Linked DNA regions of Saccharomyces cerevisiae S288C. The protein of the gene in region 1 interacts with the protein of each later gene in a biochemical or structural test. Each region holds a gene or a part of one and is shown in the gene's direction. Other genes may lie near its edges.

Region 1 (4,424 bases):
AAATCCAAGTCAGCAATTACAGCAACAGCTAAACCGAGTTCAACACAAGCAGCTCACCTCGTCACATAATAACAGTAGCACTAACATGAAATCCTTCAACAGCGATCTTTATTCAAGAAGGCAAAGAGCTTCTTTACCCATAATCGATGATTCACTAAGCTACGACCTGGTTAATAAGCAGGATGAAGACCCCAAGAACGATATGCTGCCGAATTCAAATTTGAGTTCATCTCAACAATTTATCAAACCGTCTATGATTCTTTCAGACAATGCGTCCGTTATTGCGAAAGTGGCGACTACAGGCTTGAGTAATGATATGCCATTTTTGACAGAGGAAGGTGAACAAAATGCTAATTCTACTCCAAATTTCGATCTTTCCATCACTCAAATGAATATGGCTCCATTATCGCCTGCATCATCATCCTCCACGTCTCTTGCAACAAATCATTTCTATCACCATTTCCCACAGCAGGGTCACCATACCATGAACTCTAAAATCGGTTCTTCCCTTCGGAGGCGGAAGTCTGCTGTGCCTTTGATGGGTACGGTGCCGCTTACAAATCAACAAAATAATATAAGCAGTAGTAGTGTCAACTCAACTGGCAATGGTGCTGGGGTTACGAAGGAAAGAAGGCCAAGTTACAGGAGAAAATCAATGACACCGTCCAGAAGATCAAGTGTCGTAATAGAATCAACAAAGGAACTCGAGGAGAAACCGTTCCACTGTCACATTTGTCCCAAGAGCTTTAAGCGCAGCGAACATTTGAAAAGGCATGTGAGATCTGTTCACTCTAACGAACGACCATTTGCTTGTCACATATGCGATAAGAAATTTAGTAGAAGCGATAATTTGTCGCAACACATCAAGACTCATAAAAAACATGGAGACATTTAATAGACCCCATTTTTTTAATTCGATAGATCTTTCTTCATAAGATAATTCTGTTCAATGACTTATGAAGCTTACGGCTTATTGTTATTATTATCATGATTCTTTGCCATTTTTCCGGTACCTTCACATTTTGAAGGAATTCAGTTCCCCCGCCTGTAACAACTTAGATACACGTAGATAAAAATTAATATAGCCAAAATATTTGGTATGATAGGGTATAGTATAATATAATTAATACAATATAATATAATATAGTACAGTACAGTATAATATTGTATAATATCATATGGCACCGTAATATCATATATATATCCGTACAGTTTAATGAATTCCGTGCGCATTATGCTGTGCAATATGCCTGTCAGTTTGAAAATCGAAGATACCACATCGTACAAAAGCAAGAGGGGTGCCCCTAATGGGAGAAGATTACCGTTTTTATTTTGGGGTAGCTAACTGCGCCACAAATAGTATCTACCAGTTTGCTACTTTTAGAACTGTATTATGTATCTTTGCCGAATACTTAATTTCCTAGGCCTCATTTTCAGGACTAAGGATGAAGAGGGGCTTCAATGTTTTATATGGCGCTTTTTCTGTCCATTGTATACGTCAAAAAAGCATAGATACTCCACTTATTAGCGGTAAAGCCCTTTTTGATACATTGTTCCGGCGTTTAAATATTCTCATTATGATATTTCCCCAACAGTTACACTCTGTTATTTCCTTCTTTTTTATGCTTTATCTGTTTTTTCCCTGTTTCGATGCCGTATATCAGAAAACTTAAAGTTACAAGCGAAAACAAAGAAAAGAGAGTTAACTTGAAAGGAGACAAAAGATAAACAGAGCAGTGGACAAACCAGGATTGAAGTCAGCGAGGGTGAAGAAACCATGAACAATATATTTCATGGAACTGAAGATGAATGTGCCAATGAAGACGTTCTTAGTTTCCAAAAAATTTCCTTGAAAAGTCCCTTTGGTAAGAAGAAGAACATATTTAGAAATGTTCAGACCTTCTTTAAGTCAAAAAGCAAACATTCGAATGTCGACGATGATTTAATCAATAAAGAGAATCTTGCCTTTGATAAATCTCCATTGTTAACAAATCACAGGAGTAAGGAAATTGATGGTCCTTCACCGAATATAAAGCAGCTTGGCCATCGCGATGAGTTAGATGAAAATGAAAATGAAAATGATGATATAGTCTTAAGCATGCATTTTGCTTCTCAAACCTTACAAAGTCCAACAAGAAACTCATCAAGAAGATCTTTGACCAATAATAGGGATAATGATCTTTTAAGTAGAATCAAGTATCCTGGCAGTCCCCAGAGGTCGAGCTCTTTTTCAAGGTCAAGGTCCTTGTCGAGAAAGCCAAGCATGAATAGCAGTAGCAATTCAAGCAGGAGGGTGCAACGGCAAGATGGGAAAATTCCGAGGTCATCGAGAAAAAGTTCACAGAAATTTTCTAACATTACTCAGAATACTTTGAACTTCACGTCTGCGTCATCCAGTCCACTAGCTCCTAATTCGGTAGGGGTGAAATGTTTTGAATCATGCCTAGCCAAAACACAGATACCATATTATTATGACGATCGTAACTCAAATGACTTTTTCCCTCGAATTTCTCCAGAAACGTTGAAAAATATTCTGCAGAATAATATGTGCGAGTCATTTTATAATTCATGTCGTATTATAGATTGTCGGTTTGAATACGAATATACTGGCGGCCACATAATAAACTCCGTTAACATACACTCGAGAGATGAGTTAGAGTACGAATTTATCCATAAAGTTTTGCATAGCGATACTAGCAACAACAACACTCTACCAACTCTTTTAATTATCCATTGCGAATTTAGTTCCCACCGGGGACCTTCATTGGCCTCTCATTTGAGAAATTGTGATCGTATAATAAATCAGGATCATTATCCCAAATTATTCTATCCCGACATATTGATATTGGATGGCGGATACAAAGCTGTTTTTGACAATTTTCCTGAACTATGTTATCCACGTCAGTACGTGGGAATGAACTCACAAGAAAATTTGCTGAATTGTGAACAAGAAATGGATAAGTTTAGGAGAGAATCTAAAAGATTTGCTACTAAAAATAATTCTTTTAGAAAACTAGCTTCCCCTTCAAATCCTAACTTCTTTTATAGAGATAGCCATCAATCTTCAACAACAATGGCATCTTCTGCACTATCGTTCAGGTTTGAGCCGCCTCCGAAGCTGTCATTAAACCACAGAAGAGTCTCTAGTGGTTCATCATTAAATTCAAGTGAGAGTACAGGCGACGAAAATTTCTTCCCCATCTTAAGTAAGTCGTCTATGAGTAGTAACAGTAACCTAAGCACTTCACATATGCTACTAATGGACGGACTGGATACCCCATCATATTTTAGTTTCGAAGATGAGAGAGGCAATCATCAGCAAGTAAGTGGAGATGAAGAGCAAGACGGAGATTTTACTTTCGTTGGTTCCGACCGAGAAGATTTACCCAGGCCCGCAAGAAGATCGTTATTCCCTTCTCTAGAGACTGAAGATAAAAAATGATACTACATGTGCATGAAGTATTATGAAAAAAAGAAGTATATATTCAGGAACCGAACGGCAACAACATCAATACATAAATCACAATCATCTATATTTATTGCATTAGATTAATCACATAATATAAAAAATTTGCATTTGAATACCGGGGTCACTTCTAAATTCATAAAAATAAGCTGATTTTCATTCTAAAATGGCTCTTTTGCTAATGCAGTCTCTACCGGTACTCAGTTTGAGATCCGTTCCCCACCTGGAGGGTGGCCAAACAATTGTTATAGCTTTCCCTATGACCAACCCACTGGAAATGGGGCCAAAAGTATTGCTATCAATCGAATGAAAATAATTGTCCCCTTCGACCCATATGTGTCCCCTGGGCAGGTTCACTTGAGGTTTAGGGTATGGAAACTTCGTGTCAATGGTATCAAACGGTAAACCTTTAACCCTTTTGCAGTAAACTTTCCGAGGGTTTGTAGGAGCTTTGAAAAGGATAATGTCATCTCTAGATAAATTACTTGGGTTCTTGACTCCAAACTTCCAAAGCAGCACCCAATCTGTTGCCAGCGTTTCCGTTTGCGGGTTCAGCGTAGGCTGCATAGAGGTACCTTTAACTTGCGCAATATGGACCACATTATTATTGATTGTTAGAAGTACCGGAACCCATGAAATTGCTATTAGTGTGTTTCGTAAGAATCTTTTTGATGATCCGGCTCGAAACATTACTGTACAGTACAATGCAACAGCTTCATGAATAGCAGCACGCCTTCGTTAACAAGCACCCATCTAGTCATTCAATTAAGGCACTTGTTTTTTCCATTTTTTTCAGTAGCTCGGAACTTAGCCTCGCTCTCCTTCCGAGCTTGATCTTCCACAGTATTTCGATGACATTGGTCTACCCGTAAGTCTGAGCTCCAACGAACAGCCAGAAGCTAAGAAAGCATAAAAAAGAACCGAACCACTTTAAAATCTAGCAAATTTTAACCTTCAA
Region 2 (4,913 bases), on another chromosome or scaffold:
TTCAAGTGTATTTTTGGATTTATCATTTTTCTATGTGAGGTAAGTTTTTGAATGTCCCATTTTCCTTTCGTTTTTGGAAAGTTCTAAGAAAAAGCATTAACAATTAAAAAAAAAAAAAAAATCTAAATAATACTGATAGAAATATCAAATATAAACTACTAATATCGGTAATATTCAAAAGAAGAAGCATGACTATAAGCGAAGCTCGTCTATCACCGCAAGTCAATCTTCTCCCAATAAAGAGGCACTCAAACGAAGAGGTAGAGGAGACTGCAGCGATTCTAAAAAAGCGTACTATAGATAATGAAAAGTGTAAAGACAGCGACCCTGGTTTTGGTTCCCTTCAAAGAAGGTTACTGCAGCAACTTTATGGCACACTTCCTACGGACGAAAAGATAATCTTCACATATTTACAAGATTGTCAACAAGAGATCGATAGAATCATTAAACAATCCATTATTCAGAAAGAGAGTCATTCAGTAATTCTCGTGGGGCCCAGACAAAGTTACAAAACATACTTATTAGACTATGAACTGTCTTTGTTGCAACAATCTTATAAAGAGCAGTTTATAACTATCAGGTTGAATGGGTTTATTCACTCCGAACAAACAGCTATTAACGGTATAGCAACTCAATTGGAACAGCAGTTGCAGAAAATTCATGGCAGTGAAGAAAAAATTGACGATACTTCATTAGAGACTATTAGCAGTGGTTCTTTGACAGAAGTGTTTGAGAAAATTCTTTTACTCTTAGATTCGACCACGAAGACAAGAAATGAAGATAGTGGTGAGGTTGACAGAGAGAGTATAACAAAGATAACAGTTGTTTTTATATTCGATGAAATTGATACATTTGCTGGGCCTGTGAGGCAAACTTTATTATACAATCTTTTTGACATGGTAGAACATTCTCGGGTACCTGTTTGCATTTTTGGCTGCACAACGAAATTAAATATCTTGGAATATTTAGAAAAGAGGGTAAAGAGTAGATTTTCTCAAAGAGTGATTTATATGCCGCAAATACAGAATCTAGACGATATGGTTGACGCCGTCAGAAATTTACTTACAGTTCGCTCTGAAATCTCCCCCTGGGTTTCACAATGGAATGAAACGTTGGAAAAAGAACTATCCGACCCTCGATCGAATTTGAATAGACATATTAGGATGAATTTCGAAACCTTTAGGTCATTACCTACATTGAAAAATAGCATAATTCCATTAGTAGCGACATCCAAAAATTTTGGTTCACTCTGCACTGCCATAAAATCGTGTTCTTTTCTTGACATATACAATAAGAACCAACTATCTAATAATTTAACAGGAAGGCTCCAATCTTTATCCGATTTAGAGTTAGCCATTTTGATCTCAGCCGCTAGGGTTGCCTTAAGGGCGAAAGACGGATCTTTTAATTTTAATTTAGCTTATGCAGAGTATGAAAAGATGATTAAAGCTATCAACTCCAGAATTCCCACCGTGGCTCCTACTACAAATGTGGGAACAGGTCAAAGTACTTTTTCTATCGACAATACTATCAAACTATGGTTGAAAAAGGACGTCAAGAACGTTTGGGAAAATTTAGTGCAACTGGATTTTTTTACCGAGAAATCAGCCGTTGGTTTGAGAGATAATGCGACCGCAGCATTTTACGCTAGCAATTATCAATTTCAGGGCACCATGATCCCGTTTGACTTGAGAAGTTACCAGATGCAGATCATTCTTCAGGAATTAAGAAGAATTATCCCCAAATCTAATATGTACTACTCCTGGACACAACTGTGAATCTTGGGAACAATATACAGACATTTTATTGGCGGTAGCAACTCTGATATTCCACTGTTCAGCTTTCCTAATAAGTAAGTTCAAGATTATGTGGTCATCGCGTCGAACGGAAATACACCCATACACCAAACCTCTGTGAATTTGAAAAATTCACATATGCATTTAATAGAGCATAGGCAATGTAGAGAGAGAAATTAACAATGGTGAAAAGAAATATTACCAAACACCAGCAAAAGAAATTGTATAGTATTAGCAGTACATTCGTGGTCAAGCAGAATAACAGTAAAATAATATGAGTGATAATGGTTCCCCCGCGGTTCTTCCAAAAACCGAATTTAATAAATACAAAATCGGCAAAGTGAAGAGTACACCAGCCATCCAGCGAGATGCGAAGACTAACTTAACATACATCAAACTAAGAAAAAGAAGTAGTGAGAAAGTTTACGGGTGTACAGTTTTCCAGAATCATTATCGTGAGGATGAAAAATTAGGACAAGGAACATTTGGTGAGGTTTATAAGGGAATTCATTTAGAGACTCAAAGACAAGTGGCAATGAAAAAAATTATAGTTAGCGTTGAAAAAGATCTGTTTCCTATAACTGCACAACGAGAAATTACTATTTTAAAGCGTTTAAACCACAAAAATATTATTAAACTAATCGAAATGGTGTATGACCATTCACCGGATATTACAAATGCGGCATCCAGCAACCTACATAAGTCATTCTACATGATCCTGCCGTATATGGTAGCAGATCTGTCGGGCGTTTTGCATAATCCGAGAATCAACTTAGAGATGTGCGATATAAAGAATATGATGCTACAAATATTAGAAGGCCTAAATTATATTCATTGTGCAAAATTCATGCATAGGGATATAAAGACAGCAAATATTTTGATTGACCACAACGGTGTTTTAAAGCTTGCTGATTTTGGTTTAGCAAGATTATATTATGGCTGTCCTCCAAACTTAAAGTATCCTGGTGGTGCAGGTTCCGGCGCCAAATATACATCAGTAGTCGTAACGAGATGGTATAGAGCACCTGAGTTGGTGCTTGGTGATAAACAGTATACAACAGCTGTTGATATATGGGGTGTCGGATGCGTTTTCGCAGAATTTTTTGAGAAAAAACCTATTTTACAGGGAAAAACGGATATTGATCAGGGACATGTTATTTTCAAACTACTTGGTACACCGACAGAAGAAGATTGGGCCGTGGCTAGATATTTGCCAGGTGCTGAACTAACAACAACTAATTACAAGCCAACGTTGAGGGAAAGATTTGGTAAATATCTAAGTGAAACAGGTCTAGATTTTTTAGGACAGTTGTTAGCGTTAGATCCTTACAAGAGGTTGACCGCTATGTCTGCTAAACACCATCCTTGGTTTAAAGAGGACCCTTTACCATCAGAGAAGATAACATTACCGACGGAAGAAAGTCATGAAGCTGATATTAAGAGGTACAAGGAAGAAATGCACCAATCATTGTCCCAAAGAGTACCTACTGCGCCAAGAGGTCATATAGTTGAAAAGGGTGAATCACCTGTCGTGAAAAATCTTGGGGCGATCCCAAGAGGCCCCAAGAAAGATGACGCAAGTTTTTTGCCTCCATCAAAGAACGTATTGGCTAAGCCGCCTCCTTCGAAAATAAGAGAACTACATCAAAATCCTAGACCGTATCATGTGAACAGCGGATATGCTAAAACTGCGATTCCACCGCCAGCAGCCCCTGCAGGAGTTAATAGATACGGACCCAACAATAGTTCCAGAAATAATCGCTTCAGCGGCAACAGCACTGCACCCAACAACAGCAGGAATCCCGTAAATCGATTTCATCCTGAGACAAATGTCAGCTCTAAATATAATAAAGTACCTTTGCCATTGGGGCCTCAGTCAAGATACCAGGGTAATTCAAATGAGTCCCGGTACAAAAACTCGCCAAATGACTCTAGATATCATAACCCTAGGTACGTGAACAAGCCGGAAACCAACTTCAATAGGCAACCACAGAAATATAGTCGCCAAGAATCCAATGCGCCAATCAATAAAAATTATAATCCTTCAAACGGTTCTCGCAATATGGCTGGTGATCATCATCAAGGCTCGAGACCTTCTCATCCACAATTCCCAATCTCGCCCTCACAGGGGCAGCATCAGCTTACGAGTAAACCAATAGAGAAAAAAAATGGAAGCTTTAAGGATGAAAGAGCGAAACCAGATGAGTCTAAGGAGTTCCAAAATAGTGATATTGCAGATCTATATTAGGTTATACTATTCTCTCTTCCTTTCTGGCCTCGTGGCTAATTACGGAAAGTTGTATACTGACTACTATGTAATCTATCACGTTTTGTCACTGTCTCGCTCTTTTCAAACAATCCATAAAATCGAAACTATTGTCAAAACGTCAGTACATCCTACCTGATAGGGACTGTACCAATGTCAACGTTCGAGTAAGTGATAATAAGGACCGCCTTACCCACCTTCAGGACACTCGGTTTTACACAAGCGTTATCCTGCGCGGATTTTCAATATGAAAACAACTAAGTTTTCCTGTAACATCATATATACCATTTAAAAGAGTGCCAAAAAACCGATAACGATTATTTTAAAGGCGTTTTATATAAGAGAAGAAGTAAAGAGAAAAAAGCGCTTACTAGAAATGGGGAGAAGGGTGCCAAAGAGATAAAAAAAACTCCCAGCTAAGTCACTGGTTCAACGTTCCAAATGGTATCGGAGTATTCCTCGATACAACGATCACTGCTAAAGAAGCCGACGTTTGCAACGCTCAGGACACTCTTTTTTAACCATTCTGACCTTTGATTGTGGAACTCCTGGTCCACTAATTCATGGGTGGCCAGATAGGATTCAAAGTCATCACTGACCAGGTAATAATCGCCGTGGTACTTAATACTGTCGACTAAAGGTTTGAATTCATTTGGATTTTCTGGAGAAAATTGTCCACTTTCAATGTAGGATAAAACAGAATCCAAACTAGATGGTAAATCTTGTGGATGGTATTGATGGTTGTATCTCAATTCTTCGACATTTTCACTTAGGTTACCAAACAAGAAGACATTATCTTCACCAATTTCCCTTGTGATTTCCACATTGGCACCATCAACAGTACCAATAAT
Region 3 (4,353 bases), on another chromosome or scaffold:
GGTTTTCTAATGGCTCTTGCGGATTATAGGAAGGAAAGTACAGATAACCGTAGGGATCATCTTCAACAATGAGGAAATCGTGTCTTTGGGCCAACTGGTAAATTTTCTCTCTTTTCCACTGGGGGACAGACATCCCGGTAGGATTTTGGCCCGTTGCAATGGTATATAGGACCCTTGGCTTGTTTAAGTCTTTGTATGGTCCAGTTGACCAATTATCGAGCAACTGCGTTAGATATTCGACATCAATACCCTGGGACTCTCTGTCGAAGGTCAGGTTCATCTTGATGGGGATGACTTTTGCTCCTGTAGCCTCCACATTGGACATAGCCGGGGTGAAAGTAAACTCTTCAATCATCACAGTGGTCGATTCGTCGCAAATTGTTTCAAAAACCTTAAACATTGAATCGTTGGACCCGCCAGAAAGGATGACATCCCAGTTAGACTCCGTCTCATCGGAAAAGGCTGGGCGATTAATTCTGGACACAAAATCTTTAACAAAATGTAAGAGAGGGGGTAAACCCTTGGTTTCTGCATATTGGAAAGAACGTGCAATGGGTAGCTCACTGGGGGATCCCAAGTCCAAATGCGCCGTGGTAAACGAATTATGCCATTTTGGGTTATCATTAAAAGGAACTTTTGATATTTTCAAATCCATAGATTCGATAGGAAAAAATCTCTCGTTTGGCATTCCACCAGCTAGCTCAATGACGTCATCTGAGATATCAGAAGCATCCCAAAAGCTTTTCAGAGATCTATTTTCTACTCTTCTGGAGAGAAACGGTTGGAAGTTCTTCTTTAAGGAAGTGTAATCAACAGGGGGGGCAGAACCAGCAGTCATTGAGTCGATGAGAGAGTGTAATTGTGGTATGTGTGTATTTTTATGTTTACACTGGGATATTACAAGACCAAATCAAGCTTTTTCCTTTATATATATCAAATATTTATAATGTTTCCTACCCCAATGATGGTTCGGTTATCCGCGGCAAATCTCGGTAAGCATCGGCAATGCTTCCGCGAGTTACCGCTTTTTTTTTTTTATTCCTTTGTTATTATCTACGGCCGTCGGCGGCAATAGTATTTTTGCTCACGTGACCGACAAGGGTCCATTTTATTGCGGTACGGCTCTCTCTTTTTTTTTTTCTCCTCTTCAACTTCTCTCTGATTGCAAACAATATATAACATAACCATGTTCATTACGTACGAAAATATATATACATAAATGCATGGCAGTTATGGCAATTACAACTACAACGCCGTAAAGTTCCAAACGCAGCGGCCTGAGATAGTAAATGATGTACGCACGTGGGCGAAAGTTCATTACTTTGACTGTTGTAACATACCGTATCTCTCTTTTCCCACGTGCTCCGCTCTCTTATCTACCTTGGCGGTACAGCCCTGCGCGGAGTCACTGCAGCCACGTGCCTAGATCTATTACTATGACTTCCCATGGGCACATATACGCCATTAATATACAATATATATAACGTTCATATATGGGTATTTACAGAGAGCCAGGGGCAAATTGGACAGATGTCTCCACGCGGCAAAATGGAAACAGCAGTTTCACAAGGACAACACAAACAACTTAAAGATGGTCACCAGCATAAGGGAAGAAAACTCTCCGAGGAGATCGCTTCTCTATTGAGGCTCAAAGAGTGCAGGAGGCTCAATCCTGCTAGTTACTATACTCCACGTAGAACATCGCAGTCACAATCTCTCAGTGGATCAACTTTTAAAGAGTATAACGAGTACATTAATGAGAAAGATTCAAGTAGAGCGCAGCGTCAAAACGCTGCCGCCGTTTTAAGCAAGCTCGCCCATGACTTTTGGGAGAACGACTGTGTCATTGACGAAGACATATTCGAAGATTCGTCTGACGAAGAACAATCATGATTGCATCTCTTAATCGTTACACATACATACCTTCTACCTCTGTACTGTTACATATGCATTGACTTTACGATCTAATATAAATCCTTTTGATGTTACCCCGCCTGTGGGCTCGTTCTCCTTTCGTTTCTTACGATTTTTTCGCCGGAACAAGAAAAAACAGAACAAAACAAATCAGCGATCGTATACATGGGTCTTTGATTTCTGCTTGCTTCTTACAAACAACAAACGCAAACCGTTCATTGAGTGCTCTGTGACTGGTTTTCATGTGGATGCCATAGTAGAGAAAAGACACATACAAAAATTTCGCGCATTCGCTGGCCCTTTTCCTGCTCTCCTCTTCCCCATGTCCATGCCCATAGCAAGTACCACTCTAGCAGTTAACAACCTCACCAATATAAACGGAAACGCAAATTTTAACGTACAAGCAAACAAACAACTCCACCACCAGGCTGTCGACTCGCCCGCAAGATCTTCGATGACCGCCACGACCGCCGCCAACTCCAACAGCAACTCTTCCAGAGATGACTCTACTATTGTCGGCCTACATTACAAGATCGGCAAAAAAATAGGGGAAGGTTCCTTTGGTGTGCTATTTGAAGGTACTAATATGATCAATGGCGTACCCGTCGCGATCAAATTCGAGCCCAGAAAAACGGAGGCCCCTCAATTAAGAGATGAATATAAAACATATAAAATTCTGAATGGCACTCCCAATATCCCCTACGCGTACTACTTCGGCCAAGAAGGTTTGCACAATATCTTGGTCATTGATCTTTTGGGTCCCTCTTTGGAAGATTTATTTGATTGGTGTGGAAGAAAATTTTCTGTCAAAACGGTTGTGCAAGTTGCTGTCCAAATGATTACTTTGATTGAAGACTTGCACGCACATGACTTGATATACCGTGATATCAAACCAGACAATTTCTTGATTGGAAGGCCCGGCCAACCTGACGCAAACAACATCCATTTGATCGACTTCGGTATGGCCAAACAGTATCGTGATCCGAAAACTAAACAGCACATCCCATATAGAGAGAAAAAATCACTCAGCGGCACTGCCAGATATATGTCCATTAATACTCACCTTGGAAGAGAGCAGTCCAGAAGAGATGATATGGAGGCCTTGGGTCACGTTTTCTTTTATTTCTTGAGAGGCCACTTACCCTGGCAGGGTTTAAAAGCTCCAAACAATAAGCAAAAATACGAAAAGATTGGTGAAAAGAAAAGATCTACTAACGTTTACGATCTAGCTCAAGGCTTACCTGTGCAATTTGGCAGGTATCTAGAAATCGTCAGAAGTCTTTCCTTTGAAGAGTGTCCCGATTATGAAGGCTATAGAAAACTATTACTATCTGTACTGGATGATTTAGGTGAAACCGCGGACGGCCAATATGATTGGATGAAACTGAACGATGGCCGTGGTTGGGATCTTAACATAAACAAGAAGCCAAATCTCCACGGATACGGCCATCCAAATCCACCAAACGAAAAATCGAGAAAACATAGAAACAAACAGCTCCAAATGCAACAGCTCCAAATGCAACAGCTCCAACAACAGCAACAGCAACAGCAATATGCTCAAAAAACTGAGGCAGATATGCGCAATTCTCAATATAAACCAAAGTTAGACCCTACTTCTTATGAAGCTTACCAGCATCAAACCCAGCAGAAATACCTGCAAGAACAACAAAAGAGACAGCAGCAACAAAAACTTCAGGAGCAACAACTTCAAGAGCAACAATTGCAACAGCAGCAACAGCAACAGCAACAGCTACGTGCAACAGGCCAACCTCCATCTCAGCCTCAAGCGCAAACTCAATCTCAGCAGTTTGGCGCTCGTTATCAACCACAACAACAACCTTCTGCTGCTTTAAGAACTCCTGAACAGCACCCAAATGACGATAATTCAAGTCTAGCTGCTTCTCATAAGGGCTTTTTCCAAAAATTAGGTTGTTGCTAAATATAGAAATGACATTTTTTGCAAGACTACCGTCTTTCTTACATTTTTTGTAATGTGAATATATCTGTATACTTTACAACCGAAACGACATTTACCATACTTATAATTTTCGAGTTCTTCGCTGTGGACAAGAGATTAAGTGAGATCAATAACTTCGATAAGAGTATCTCCCGGGAGTACCTCGTCATCATCATCAAGGATTACAACTTCTAAGGAGCTGCTAATATTATCACTTATTATTTGATCTTTGTTATTCTTCGTCTCTCCGCACCAGCGATCATCTCTATATCTCCTTTCGGCTGCAAAAGCCGCCAACTCTCTCGGGGAATTACCTCTATCTATAGATGATATACCCTCTGGATGCAAACTCCCTAACTTCACACCTTTGCCCCTTTTTCTCACTATCCCTGTGTTAGTACTTATTCCTGTCATAGGATATCTATTTGAACGTAAGTTTGCTCTTCCACCGAGACGTTGACCGTTCCCCAAAAATGTGTCGT

What was found.
Region 2: of the proteins of MIH1 (region 1) and SGV1, one has a biochemical effect on the other in vitro, tested with the Saccharomyces cerevisiae proteins (one study listed by BioGRID).
Region 3: of the proteins of MIH1 (region 1) and YCK1, one has a biochemical effect on the other in vitro, tested with the Saccharomyces cerevisiae proteins (one study listed by BioGRID).

The regions. Positions count from the first base shown.
Region 1 is NC_001145.3:340,874-345,297, reverse strand, and holds MIH1 (putative tyrosine protein phosphatase MIH1), read left to right. Parts: upstream 1-1,777; coding exon 1,778-3,442; downstream 3,443-4,424. Other genes in the region: stress-responsive transcriptional activator MSN2, read left to right, coding at 1-895; IMP2 (endopeptidase catalytic subunit), read right to left, coding at 3,623-4,156.
Region 2 is NC_001148.4:863,580-868,492, reverse strand, and holds SGV1 (cyclin-dependent serine/threonine protein kinase SGV1), read left to right. Parts: upstream 1-2,070; coding exon 2,071-4,044; downstream 4,045-4,913. Other genes in the region: ORC4 (origin recognition complex subunit 4), read left to right, coding at 189-1,778; GPH1 (glycogen phosphorylase), read right to left, coding at 4,479-4,913. UniProt on the Saccharomyces cerevisiae protein: Serine/threonine-protein kinase component of the BUR kinase complex involved in transcription regulation.
Region 3 is NC_001140.6:372,194-376,546, reverse strand, and holds YCK1 (serine/threonine protein kinase YCK1), read left to right. Parts: upstream 1-2,236; coding exon 2,237-3,853; downstream 3,854-4,353. Other genes in the region: ARO9 (aromatic-amino-acid:2-oxoglutarate transaminase), read right to left, coding at 1-838; SPL2 (Spl2p), read left to right, coding at 1,447-1,893; metalloendopeptidase WSS1, read right to left, coding at 3,989-4,353. UniProt on the Saccharomyces cerevisiae protein: Casein kinases are operationally defined by their preferential utilization of acidic proteins such as caseins as substrates.